Linked DNA regions of Xenopus tropicalis. The protein of the gene in region 1 binds, or shares a complex with, the protein of each later gene. Links are inferred from orthologs where the notes say so. Each region holds a gene or a part of one and is shown in the gene's direction. Other genes may lie near its edges.

Evidence for each region. The genes of interacting proteins can lie anywhere in the genome.
Region 2: the proteins of serpina10 (region 1) and proz are in contact, whole or in part, in a crystal structure (PDB 3H5C), measured with the Homo sapiens proteins. The link is inferred for Xenopus tropicalis from reciprocal best matches to the Homo sapiens genes SERPINA10 and PROZ. Residues at the interface, in NP_001094077.1 of Homo sapiens: Arg88, Lys89, Ser91, Met92, His94, Asp95, His257, Asp259, Lys260, Tyr261, Asn282, Phe283, Lys305, Met306, Asp308, His309, Leu310, Ala311, Leu312, Asp314, Tyr315, Leu316; in NP_003882.1 of Homo sapiens: Cys129, Pro131, Cys141, Leu142, Pro143, Ser151, His250, Met251, Arg252, Asp254, Ala257, Glu259, Asn260, Glu284, Lys285, Asp286, Phe287, His290, Leu291, Thr336, Thr337, Arg338, Arg390, Ser392, Leu393, Trp394, Gln397.

The regions. Positions count from the first base shown.
Region 1 is NC_030684.2:88,265,322-88,271,536, reverse strand, and holds the start of serpina10 (protein Z-dependent protease inhibitor), read left to right. Parts: upstream 1-2,217; 5' UTR 2,218-2,305; intron 2,306-5,184; exon of another isoform or gene 5,185-5,187; 5' UTR 5,188-5,197; coding exon 5,198-5,897; intron 5,898-6,215. UniProt on the Homo sapiens protein: Inhibits activity of the coagulation protease factor Xa in the presence of PROZ, calcium and phospholipids. Also inhibits factor XIa in the absence of cofactors.
Region 2 is NC_030678.2:116,056,191-116,062,293, reverse strand, and holds the start of proz (vitamin K-dependent protein Z precursor), read left to right. Parts: upstream 1-2,131; 5' UTR 2,132-2,161; intron 2,162-2,314; 5' UTR 2,315-2,344; coding exon 2,345-2,414; intron 2,415-3,843; coding exon 3,844-4,007; intron 4,008-5,438; coding exon 5,439-5,463; intron 5,464-6,103. UniProt on the Homo sapiens protein: Appears to assist hemostasis by binding thrombin and promoting its association with phospholipid vesicles. Inhibits activity of the coagulation protease factor Xa in the presence of SERPINA10, calcium and phospholipids.

The DNA.
Region 1 (6,215 bases):
TTTTTTCGTAGCGTTAAAACTTGCGCGAAACATCGCGCCTTTTAAGTTTTAACGCTACGAAAAAATCGCCAGTTTTTGCGCAACTTTCGGAATGGCTACGAAAAACTCGCGTTTTTTCGTGCAAATCGTATTGGTAACGAAAAAGTCGCGATAATTTCCGAAAAGTCATAAAGGCTCCGAAAAAATCGCAAAAAATACAAAAAAGTCGCAAAATGTTCGTTTTCCAATCGGAATTTTTCCAATTCGGATTCGAATTCGTGGGTTAGTAAATCAGCCCCTAAGGGGCTGATTTACTTACCCACGAACGGGTCGAATGGAGTCCGATTGCGTTTTTTTCGTAATGATCGGTATTTTGCGATTTTTTCGTATGTTTTGCGATTTTTTCGGATTCTTTACGAATTTTTCGTTACCAATACGATTTTTGCGTAAAAACGCGAGTTTTCCTATCCATTACGAAAGTTGCGTAAAAAGTTGCGCATTTTTCGTAGCGTTAAAACTTACGCGAAAAGTTGCGCATTTTTCGCGTAAGTTTTAACGCTACGAAAAATGCGCAACTTTTTACGCAACTTTCGTAATGGATACGAAAAACTCGCGTTTTTACGCAAAAATCGTATTGGTAACGAAAAATTCGTACAGAATCCGAAAAAATCGCAAAACATACGAAAAAGTCGCAAAATGTTCGTTTTCAAGTCGGAACTTTTCCAATTCGGGTCGGATTCGTGGGTTAGTAAATCAGCCCCTTAGTGTGCCCTAGCAGTGTCTTTATATGTTTGTATTTTGGTGAGATAGCCATGTACTTGTAGTACCCCAAACCTGACACTTAAATGGTGATATTATGCCTTTAAAAATGTGTGATGACCTTCAAAATGGGGAGAATCAGTCTGTAGGACCATTGTGTTGGTTTTATTGTCAATAACCTTTAAATAGTGGGCAAATCTTCTGACTTCCACTTCCTAACTGTCACAGCCCAGGCAGCAATAGCTATAGGTGAAAACATACATTTACCACTTTTATTGTTTTTTTTAAAATCAAATTGGCAATTAATGGAGTTCAGGGTTATATTGAACTGCTCGTTTGAACATAATATGAAGCTTATGAGATATTCTGTTGTAAGTTGGAACAGGATAAGAAATTCTGCTACACATGTATTATATATTAGAAAGACTGATTTAATATATATATATAAATATATAAATATATTTTTGAGTTGCAAATTGTCCCATTTTAACTGTAGATGTAGAACATAGAGCCTATCTGGCAACCTGCTGTGATACAATAACTTGCCTCTTCCAACTATTGTACTGTACAATGTATTTCTCTACATGAAATCTCTAATAACTTGGGTTCAATTAATTAATTTTCAGTAGTCTTAGGGGGGCATTTATTAACATTTGGATTTTAACCACAAATAAATTAATTTCCATGAATTGAAATGTAATTTATCAAAAGATCCAAACTGAAAAACTACAAACAAAAAAAGATGCAGAAAAATCGCAAAAACTCCAATTTTTTTTTGTATTTTTTACATAAGCCAGCATAAAAGAAACTCTAAAACAACAAAGCAAAGAAAGATCTTCCATTTCTAAAAGGGACATCTGCCACTGACTTCTACATGATCACAACAGGTTTTAGATGATTTATTTTTGCATTCAGATTTGTTGTTGTTTTGTTGCATAATAAATCGTAAAAAAATCAAATTTTTTATAAGACAAACTCATATTTTGGTGACAAAAACCCCAAGCCAAAAAATGGGGTGTTAGTAAATGTATGGAGACCCAAATTACGGAAGGACCCCCTACCTGAGCATTCTGAATAACAGGTCCCATACCTGTTATAGCAATAAAGACTGCTCTGCAGGGTCCTCTAGGGGCGTAGGACCCATTTTCCATAGCAGATAAAGTAATTCAAATGCAGTGGTTTTGGTACTTGTGTCAATAAACAAGATACCAAACGTAATTCATGGCTCGAATAGCGCAAAGGATAAAAGCCTTAATTATGTATAATAGGACAGAATTCTCTCAACAGTTTCTGTGCTTATTTTGCACCACTGCAGTACAGAATAGGAAATGTGAGAGAGTCCTGATAAAAGAGAAATGCTAGTAATAGATATACATGCATTGGCGTTTTTTTTCTCTTGGGAAATGTTTTGGTGACATATCTGTGTGCACAGCTGTTAATAAATAAAGGAAATGACTTTGCTCATTCTTTATACTTTGTATTGCTAAATATTTGTCAAAGACCACTGATGTTGGACATTAACCTTTGGCTGCATTAGTATTTCTGCGACTGAAACAAGGCAACACTGGTAAGAACTCACAATATTTAGTAGTAACTATCGATAACTATAGATACTTGGTGTAGGTCCAAGCAAGCATTGTCAGTGCGGCATTGTTTCTGATTCTAAAAGTAATTCAAAATATATTTTGAAATAGAAACCATTACAGAGAGTAAACATTTATAACAGTAAAATGAAATATCTTTTACAGACTCCATTTAAATGATACCCCCAGGGTCACATTATAAATGGAAGACTGCTTGCTTGACGTTACTGACCAATGCATTGTTCAGAAATGATATTTTATTATTTTACATAACAGGAAATTCCATACTATGCAAATAATATAAAAATATATATAAAAATAATGTCACTTTGTAAGATTTAAATGAAATCCTAATATAGATGTTTAAGTGAATCTGCATTATAAAAAGGCACAGCCAGTGTTACTCACACCTTCCATTCACTGATAAGAACAATAAACATAATAATAAGAGGAATGAGAACAATCTATTAGAAGATGTTTTAAAACTAACAAAAGCATTTTGAAGCTTTAAGTATCTCTTTTATTAACTTTTTAAAAGAATTCTACAATAAATTGTTTGAGTAACATGATAATCACTGAATAAAATGACAATGAAGCCACTTTCAGGGTGTTGAAGCCGGTAAAACTAGCCAGCAGATTGGAGATAGAAATGAAATGAATGGCATTTACACTAGATTTCCCTGAAAGTGACTAATGCTCTTTAAAGTGACAATGAAGAAGTAAATGTGCTGGTTTTACTATGAATGGTGTATTAAGGATAATACAAATACAGCCTACACACAGTATATCAATTTATAATTTCTCCACTATTCCTAAGTGATGTTCATAATTGCAGTCTAATTGAAAACTAAAGCTCCACCCTAATTTAACTTAAATGAAATTGCCTCACTAACACTGGAAAATGTCTAAGCAACGTGCAGATGTGCAGAGGTGATGGACCAAACTGCCAGTCTTTTTCTTTTTCCTTTCTCTTTCTTCTGCCTTGACATTCCCATGCTAACACCCCTTTGCTTTCCTCCCCTCTCCTCTGCTTAGGAACATAAATATGCTGTTTATTTAGATATCTTTGTGGCCTTTCGCATTTGCTTGTCTGCAAAAATCAAAATACTGTTTTAACAAATTTCTTAGTATTAATAGCCTGACTCGAGGGTACACTGGCATGGTCATAGCAATTCTCATGTTAAACTTTGAAGAGGCGAATATATATTGTGACCATTGTCCTTACGAGCTGAAGTACTACTAATGTTTTGGGTTTTTTTCATGAAGCTCAGCTTTTTCTGTGTAGGGGAGTGCAATAGCTACTCCACACTGTAACATGAAATGTAATCAAATTCACAAACAGAAACAATGGCGCTGAAATAAGAATAAAAAAAATTTCATGTTACGATGTAATATTTTTCATTTCATTAAAGGGGACCTGTCACCCAAACATAAAAAGCTGTATTTTAAAAGTCATTTTCAAATTAAACATGAAACCCAAATTCCTTTTTTTATTAAAACACAAATTATAAATTTAAAAATTCCAGCTGTCAATCATATATTGACTACTCCTCACTTATGCCTTAGGTATAGAGGCGAGGCATAGAATTACTTCCACTTTCCACTGAGCAGTTACTACACCATGTAATTGTGTAACCAGTGCATGGGCATGGGTATCTGATCCCCACATTCTGGCACATATACAAGCTTTTGGGGTGATACAAAGCTTGCCTTACTAACAGTGTCCACAAAATGGCACCTGCCTGCTTCCTGTGATTTAATCATTCATATAGTGTACGTGAAGTTTATTTTACTTGACAAACACCAAACAAAACAACTTGGAATTATTTTCTAGGGTGACAGGTCCCCTTTAAGAAGTTTTATTACATGCACAGCACACTTGCGCAAACTAAAAAATTAACAGTTGCAAACCTATTGTAGCAAGAAATGCAAAGGGTTCGCAGACTGTACACAATTTGTGTCAAAGCAATATTTTAGTTCCGTTGTGACCCTTTTTTCCTTTATGAACAAATATTACGTTCCCCATAGCCTTTATATGAATATCTATTATTAAACTCAACCCGTAAATATAAAACAGTTATGGTTTGGTTTTATAACCTAAGTGGTACATGTAGTGAAAACTAATAGCAAAGAAATCCCTTTAGAAACTGCATTTCTAAAACAAAAATCAAGCCCTCTCAGTATTCTTATCACTTTATTATCAGGCCTAAGGAATACACATGACATTTTCTCTGCCTATATATTAACATTACACTTTAGTCTGATAGTGAAGCAATCTGTTGCCTTCTACTCCATCTTTAGTATGAAATGACAGACACGGCATCACTCTGTCAGTGCAGATTTGAAATTATACTATTTTATGGCGAATTGTATACAAAAGTGCACACAAAAGATCAGTAGAATAACGTTGTTATATGAATGATTCAACTAATAATAAGCAAGTATTAGTCGTGGTAGTGTTATCAAAACTGTTTAGTTCTATTCTCTCCTATATCAAAGTGAGTAGCTAATAACACAAAGTAGTAAATAAATCTTGAAGTATAAATAGCACTAGTGTTGTGATCCATATACAAGGTGCACTTGATACATATACTAACTGACCACACAGATAACATCTCTTGTGAGCATCAGATTAACATTTACAATACAAATGATTTTACTAAGGTCTCATTCTGTAATGTATGTTAACAACATGTGAAGGCTAATATTTGCATCTGGCTAATGGAAAGTGAATTTTTATCTAGCCTGAGACACAATTTTTTTTAATTAGTAATGGAAATGAATATGTTTAATTCTGAAATATTTCACTGAAGTCATTTTAATTATAATTCATAATGTACTGTAACTGTATTTCCATTCTTAGCAGAAGAACCACTATGAAACGCACACTGTGGCTACTTCTTCTCCTTCTGATTGGACTGTGCATTGCTGATCATGCTACTAAACAACAAAAACCATCGAGGAAACAGAAAGTGGATCATTCAGAATGCAGCAAGCAGACCTCTGCTGCAACACTGATGAACTCTAGTCTCCCATCTGGAAATGAGGAGCAGATCCCTACAGTGCTTTCTTTTGCTAATGTGTCTCAAATGAGCAGTGATTTTGGGTTCAATCTCTACAGAAAAATTGCAAATAAACATGACAATAACATCTTTTTCTCGCCATTTAGCGTGTCATTGGGACTTTCTTCTTTATTGCTTGGAACAAGAGGAAATACATATGACCAGCTATTACATGGGTTGAACTATAACCCATTTAAAGACCAGGAAAATCCCTATTTGCTGCCAGAATTGCTGAAAACAATTAAGGAAAAAATTGCCAAAAATGAGGAGTTGGTATTGAACATAGGCAGTCTCTCATTCTTACACGAAACGTTTTCCATGAAGGACGAATTTGTCAACCTGACCAAGAAGTATTTTGACATGGAATACGAACTTATCGATTTTCACAGCTCAAAGGCAAAAAACGAAATCAATGCTTATGTTGAAAAACTGACAAAGGGGCTAATTTCCAATTTTTATGATTTTATAGATCCACAAACTAAGCTTCTCCTCCTTGACTATATCTTCTTCAAAGGTAGATTACCATCTATTATGTGCAGGTCTGTTGTGTAATGGCACAACATTTACCAAATATTTTCAGGTACAACAATGATAATGTCATTAATTATACACACACAGTGAAATATACCATAACAAAACTAAATGATTTATATATTTCAGAGAATATTTGGAAAACCAAAGGTTTTACATTACTGACCTGCTAGTGCTGTTGATGCACATCTCTTATTTGTATATAGGGGAGATTTTAAGGTCAAGAATGGAGCAGAGGGAAAATCAGAACGAAAATGCCCGATTCACACTTTTTAGCACCTGTACTCAGACGGAAGCTATA
Region 2 (6,103 bases), on another chromosome or scaffold:
AATCACAAACACATTATCCCAGGTACACAAAGAATGGGACCATAGGGACATATTAGACCCTTTTTGGCAATGATATGTGAAAAATATCCTTTTTTCCACACATTTACAGTAAACAGTATGAAACTTTTACCTGCAACTTGCTTTATTAAGGTAAAAACAAAAGCGTGCACTACTTCATCCAGGGTATTTATAGGTGAACCCTGTGGTGTCTGACAATTAGGAGAACTATTGGGACATTACAATAATAAATAAGGTAATTGATCTTGCACGCATTCACAGTATTTTGGTGCACATTGCTCAGTTTTTCTAATATCACGGGAGACCCTAAAATCCTCTGGAAGGATCTTATAGTTGATAAATCATCAGACAGTTTATTGTATTGCACAGAAGTCCAAAATAATGCTGCATTTCTTGATGGTGCTTTAGAGCTTTATAAAGGGGAATAATTTACCCTCTCCTCCAGCAGAGCTATACCCTTTATAATACAGTACCATGCCATGTTGGCCCTTTCTTCTGCAAACTGGCATGTGTTACAAGTTTATTATCCACAAGTACCTCCAGGTCCTTATTAAGGATATTTTTATAGTTATCTACAGAAAATCTCATCTGCCAGTTAGTTGCCCAGATTGTCAGTTTGTCCAGATTCCACTGCAAGGATGACACATCCTGTATGTATTTTACTGTCTTGGATAGTTTTTGTTTCATTGCCAAATGTATACCATCCCCCAAGCCATTACCAGCTAAATCAAATAAAAGTGGAGAAAAAACAGAACCCAGTTGCACACTGCTATTACCTACTTCAATGTGATTTATTTGCTTGTTCTCTCATGTATAGCATTACTAAGACCAAAAGACTTTAGTTGAGAAAGCAAACTTGTGTTGCACCATATGCAATGGAAAAATCTACTCGGCTTCCTACTTACTTCATCATAAAAAGCTAGTACATTTCCTTGACCTGAAGAGTCCTTCAGAAAGCAATGCTGATAATTACTTTTAATGCCATGATCCAGAATATAATTTTTAAAGTGATCTCTTAAAGGAAAAGGAAAGGCTAATAAAGAGTTAATCTCAAGCTGCAGGCATACCTTCAGTTGTCTCAGGTCTCCCCATATTTCTCCCGTTCAGATGATCAGAAGCCAAACAGGAAGAAAAAACTGAAGCTGAGCTGTGTAAAGAAAGTTCCCATAATGCCTCACTCCTGCACAGACACCCAGACCAAGTGAACATGCTCAGTTAGTTAGCCTGCTGATTGGCTCAGATCCACATTCCTAAGGAGGGGGAGTGAGTTCTTAGCATTCTTGAGGGAGGGGGGTGCAGGAGAGAGCAGGAGAGAGCAGTGTGTCACTGGCACAGGAATTACAGACACAAGAAATCTTTTTACAGAGAAGTCAGTGCAGCTTTTCTGAAAGTGCTTATGGCTGTATTTACATAGACCTTTCTGATAAAGCTTACTTAGTTTTTACCTTTCGGTCACTATAGGATTTACAGGTCTATAATTGCCAGGTTGACACTAAATTTCTCTCCAGAAAACTCTAAGTCCTCAGCATTCTGGATAACAGGTCCAATACCTTTACTGCAATAGAACAAAATCTGAAGTAGTTTGGTTCAATAGTCTAATCTTCCCTTTTTTATAATTTTTTTTTAAAATTTTTTCTTGAGTGGAAAAGCTCGGAAAAAATATGTATTTGGATGAATTGACTAATTTTAAAAGGTTTTTTGGCCACTGTGGTAAAATGATTTTTGCTCAAAGTTGCAGAACAGTTTCTGGAGGAAAAAACAATGGGGAAGTAGGAAAATTATTTGATAAATTATCCTGATTGTTAACAAAAGTACGTATACCAACAAAAAAAAGAAAAAAAAAAGCCTGGCACTTATTTTCTAAATTATATAAATATCACTGTGCTTTTTGCCTAATTATTATTGTTAATAAACCTTACAATGTGCAAGGCATATATATGGATACGATTACAACTGAATATGATGATACAAAATACTTTTGTTTCTTTGTTTTATTTTTTTTTTCTATGAAATTCATGGTGCTTACTCGAGTCTGATCTTCTCTCTGGCAAACCAGCCACACATTTTAGATACAGACTGAGAATGAGACCATCAGTCTGACAAAGCTTTATGGCAAGATTCAGATAAAAGGATAATTTTGTAGGTATGATATAAATAATCATTTAAATGAATTTAAAATCTATCCCTCCACCATTTAACATCTGCAGAATGTAAATTGTTGCCCTTACTATTTACATTCTATTAAACTCTGAACTTTGAACTTTACATTTTTGTTATTTACTAACTCTTTGCACAGACATGCTGTCCACTAGCCCCAGGTATCAAAATGGCACATGCAGTGCAGACATTCTGCTTATTCTCCCTAATGCTTTTTATTCACCAAGCAGAGGCAAAAGGTATGAGAAACTTTTATTAACTATTAAGACTTTGTATTTTGTTTAGATTAGTAATGTGGGTTTAAATACTGGTAGAATTTAATGAATACAGATAAAAGACAGGGGCAGTTCAAAATAGATCTTTATGAGTAGGTTTAAGAGTATTTTGATGTGATTGTGATTGTCTAAATGAAAGGTGAATTTTTGGATGTAAAATAACAGCTATAATTTAATATGGATTAAATAGACCTGGATAGATCCAGACCTGGATACTCTGTAGCTCTCTATAAGTTGTTATCTATATATTGTAATATAATTACCACAAAACAAGGTTTACTATGCTACCAGGTAGAAGATTTAACTAAAACTACCTTAGACCTGAATAGACCCAGACCTGGATACTCTGTAGCTCTCTATAAGTTGTTATCTATATATTGTAATATAATTACCACAAAACAAGGTTTACTATGCTACCAGGTAGAAGATTTAACTAAAACTACCTTTTTTATATGTGCCTGAAAACTCTGTGTAATATTTACTAAGAATGGTCTCTTTGGTCTCCTTTATTTCTTCTACAAATTAGCAGTTGTGTTATACTTTATGCAGACAATAATGTTCTGAGATCATAACCGATTTAATTGGCAGAGTGACTAAAATACAAAAGCAAGCATAGTAAATGAATATATTAAGTAACAAAATGCTGGCCAGAACTAAAAACACACAAAAAATATAAATGTATTATTCACAATTACCCTAAGTGGAAGATTCATTCAAATAGAAAAATTGTTTTCTTGCATGTATCATTTTTCACTCAAATTATTTTGATGCCAAAATCTGAAATTTGCTTAAATTTTCCTACAGACTAACTGTAAAATAGCATGGGAATTCTCATGAATTGTTGAGACTTGTCAAGTATGTGGAGTGAAGGAAGGATCTCATCTGAAACACATGCTGATGTAGCCATTGGGTTAAGTGGATGTAGGCTTCAGGTAGCACATTTATATGCTGTTGAGAATTATTAAAGGAAAAACATTGATAAATACAAATCTCGATCTGACCCCAAGTTTATAATCTACAGTTTCTGTGTGCAGTGTCTTACTTCCTAGCTTTGCTTTATCTCCCTAGCATATAAATGGTGCCTATAAGGATATGATTTACAGTTTGATCCCATAGGGAAATGACCAAACTGTACATTATATAATAATAAACAAACTTTTCAAACATAACATAGCAAGAGTGCAAAGGGAGCAACACAACACACAGTGCTTAGATACAATTTTTTTTTTAATATTGGCCTCACAAAGCGTTTCTGGCCATATGGACCCATATTCAAGTCTTTTTCAACAACAACATAACTTTTGATGATTGTGATCAGGCTGAGGTTCATGATCTAGAACAGAAGCATGTATACATTATGTTTTTGCAACCTTGTTAACCTCCATCTATATAGTCTTCCTGTCTTCTGAAAATGCAAATAAAGTCATTCAGAGGTCCAAGAGAGACAACTTTATCTTCATCGAGGAATTACTGAAGGGAAATCTAGAAAGGGAATGCCTTGAAGAAAGGTGCTCATATGAGGAGGCGAGAGAGACATTTGAAAACACAGAAAAAACTGTAAGTATATAAGCTTAATAGTTTGTGTTTGTGCTGAGGTTGCTTACTGTCTTGCTATGAGGCCCTTCCAAATTTGACACATTCAGCATTTGTTTTTATTGTGGGTAGAAAACATAGAATGAATGGTCCTTTTAGGCAGCTCCAATTTGGGATGATGATTTAGCACCTTGCTTGAACATTCAACCAAACGCTTTTGATACCTACTTAGGACAACAAAGAGATGCTTTGATGCAGTCCCCAGCTTTGGTGATTATAGCTAAAGCTATTAAGTAAAGATAGAAGCAGTTTAACAAATTGTCCAAACAAAACAGTGTATGCTTTGCTCTATACTAGCTTGTAACAGTACATGCTATTCCCTAAACCAGTGCTGTCCAACTGGCGGCCCCCCACCTGTCTGGCCGCTTTGATGGCTTACCTTTATGTAGCCTTTAAGTGGTATCAGTACTGAGATTAACTGGCCCCCTGCATGGTTCACACCTCAGATTCAGGCTGTAATCCCCCTGTATTGTTTAAACATGTAATCCCCTGTGTTCTTCACACCTTTTAATCCCTACACTGTTCACCTTCTGCATTGTTCCCACCTCAGGCTCAGACTGTAAGCACCCATATTGTTCACCTGTTCACACCTCAGACTGTAGGAGCAGTAAAAACCCACAAATAGACCATGCACAGTACAAAAAGAACATATACTGAGGTGGTACTGCAATTAAAAAGTTTATTAATATATAGTTATTGTGCAGACTGTAGGAGCAGTGCCAGCATTGTGACACTGTATGCTGCCTGTGTGTGCCATACTCTGCCTACCCTATGCTGCCTGTGTGTGCCAGAAAGGGGAGTGGTTAAAACTGGCTTCCATTATCAGCCCTCCACCATGTAGGCCCCAAGAAATCCGGCCCTCGGTACCACAGACGTTGGACAGCACTACCCTAAACTATTTTACTGACTGAGCAACACTACATTAAACTGACCTGTATTCTTTTGTTAATATAGTTTGCTTGTTCATTTGTTTTTATTCAATAAATACTGAAAACCGGGCTTGCATTTGGGAAAACAGTGCAGTGACTGACCATCAAAATTCGAAAAGCAGTTTATAAAGTACAGTGTTCACTTCATCTACTGACAGCTTCAATGCTGACTATAATATCTTAGGTTTCAGTAATTTAAGGGGAAAAATGTATATACTTTGTGTATTTCATGTTTTTTATGGAAGGATATAGGACACTGCAAAGGCTGGCAATTACTGAAAACAGCTAATTTTTGTGTCCTGACAATTTGCATATGCAGCAAGGGTTAATCTATAGAAAATAAGAAAAAGAAAAAAAAAAAGAATGTATGGGTTTTATGGAAGAAGGACACAGAAGGTCTGTAAGTTTGTATACCTGTAATAAAATCTACCTATTGAATAATTCTTAATGCTATTATTTTTTATAGAAGCAATTTTGGAGCCAGTATCATGGTAAGTGTAACACTTATATATCTGCCACTCCTTGTAATAAGATTAGTGTTACAGACATACCCCCCGGGAAACAGATGAGCAAAACTCTGAAAATCAAATAAAAAATTACCAAGAAGTCTGAAAAGTCTGTTCTTCTGTTTTTAATCTCCATGCATCTCAGTATCTAAAAATTTCCTTGTACGCATGGAACATCCTATGCACAGCAAAGCACTGGGTATTCAGAACAAATACAATAGGGCACTTTTACATCTGCAGATGCAGTGGGCAATTTGTGGTTTTCCCCACAGTGTGTTGCATTTAAAAACAACTTCATTAAAGGTACATATGTCCCAATGCTATCTGTGTACTTGCTTATAATTGTGCTTAGCAGCATTGCGAACCCTGGAGCTACCATCATCTCCTGACCAAGTGGTAGCTTCAGAGTTCCCTCAGCACCCTGCATCAATAGGAACTACGCACTTGCACCTAAAGAATAAGGCACTGGCATCATTCACATGGCAAACACTGGAACTGACACCAGGCAGACTGCACAAATATTTGGCAAAACTGAGAAGTGCATGTGCAGTTACATCCATTTTGACAGATCAGACACAATGGTGCTTGACGCAGCATGCAAGAGTTAGACACAGTGCAATTATGT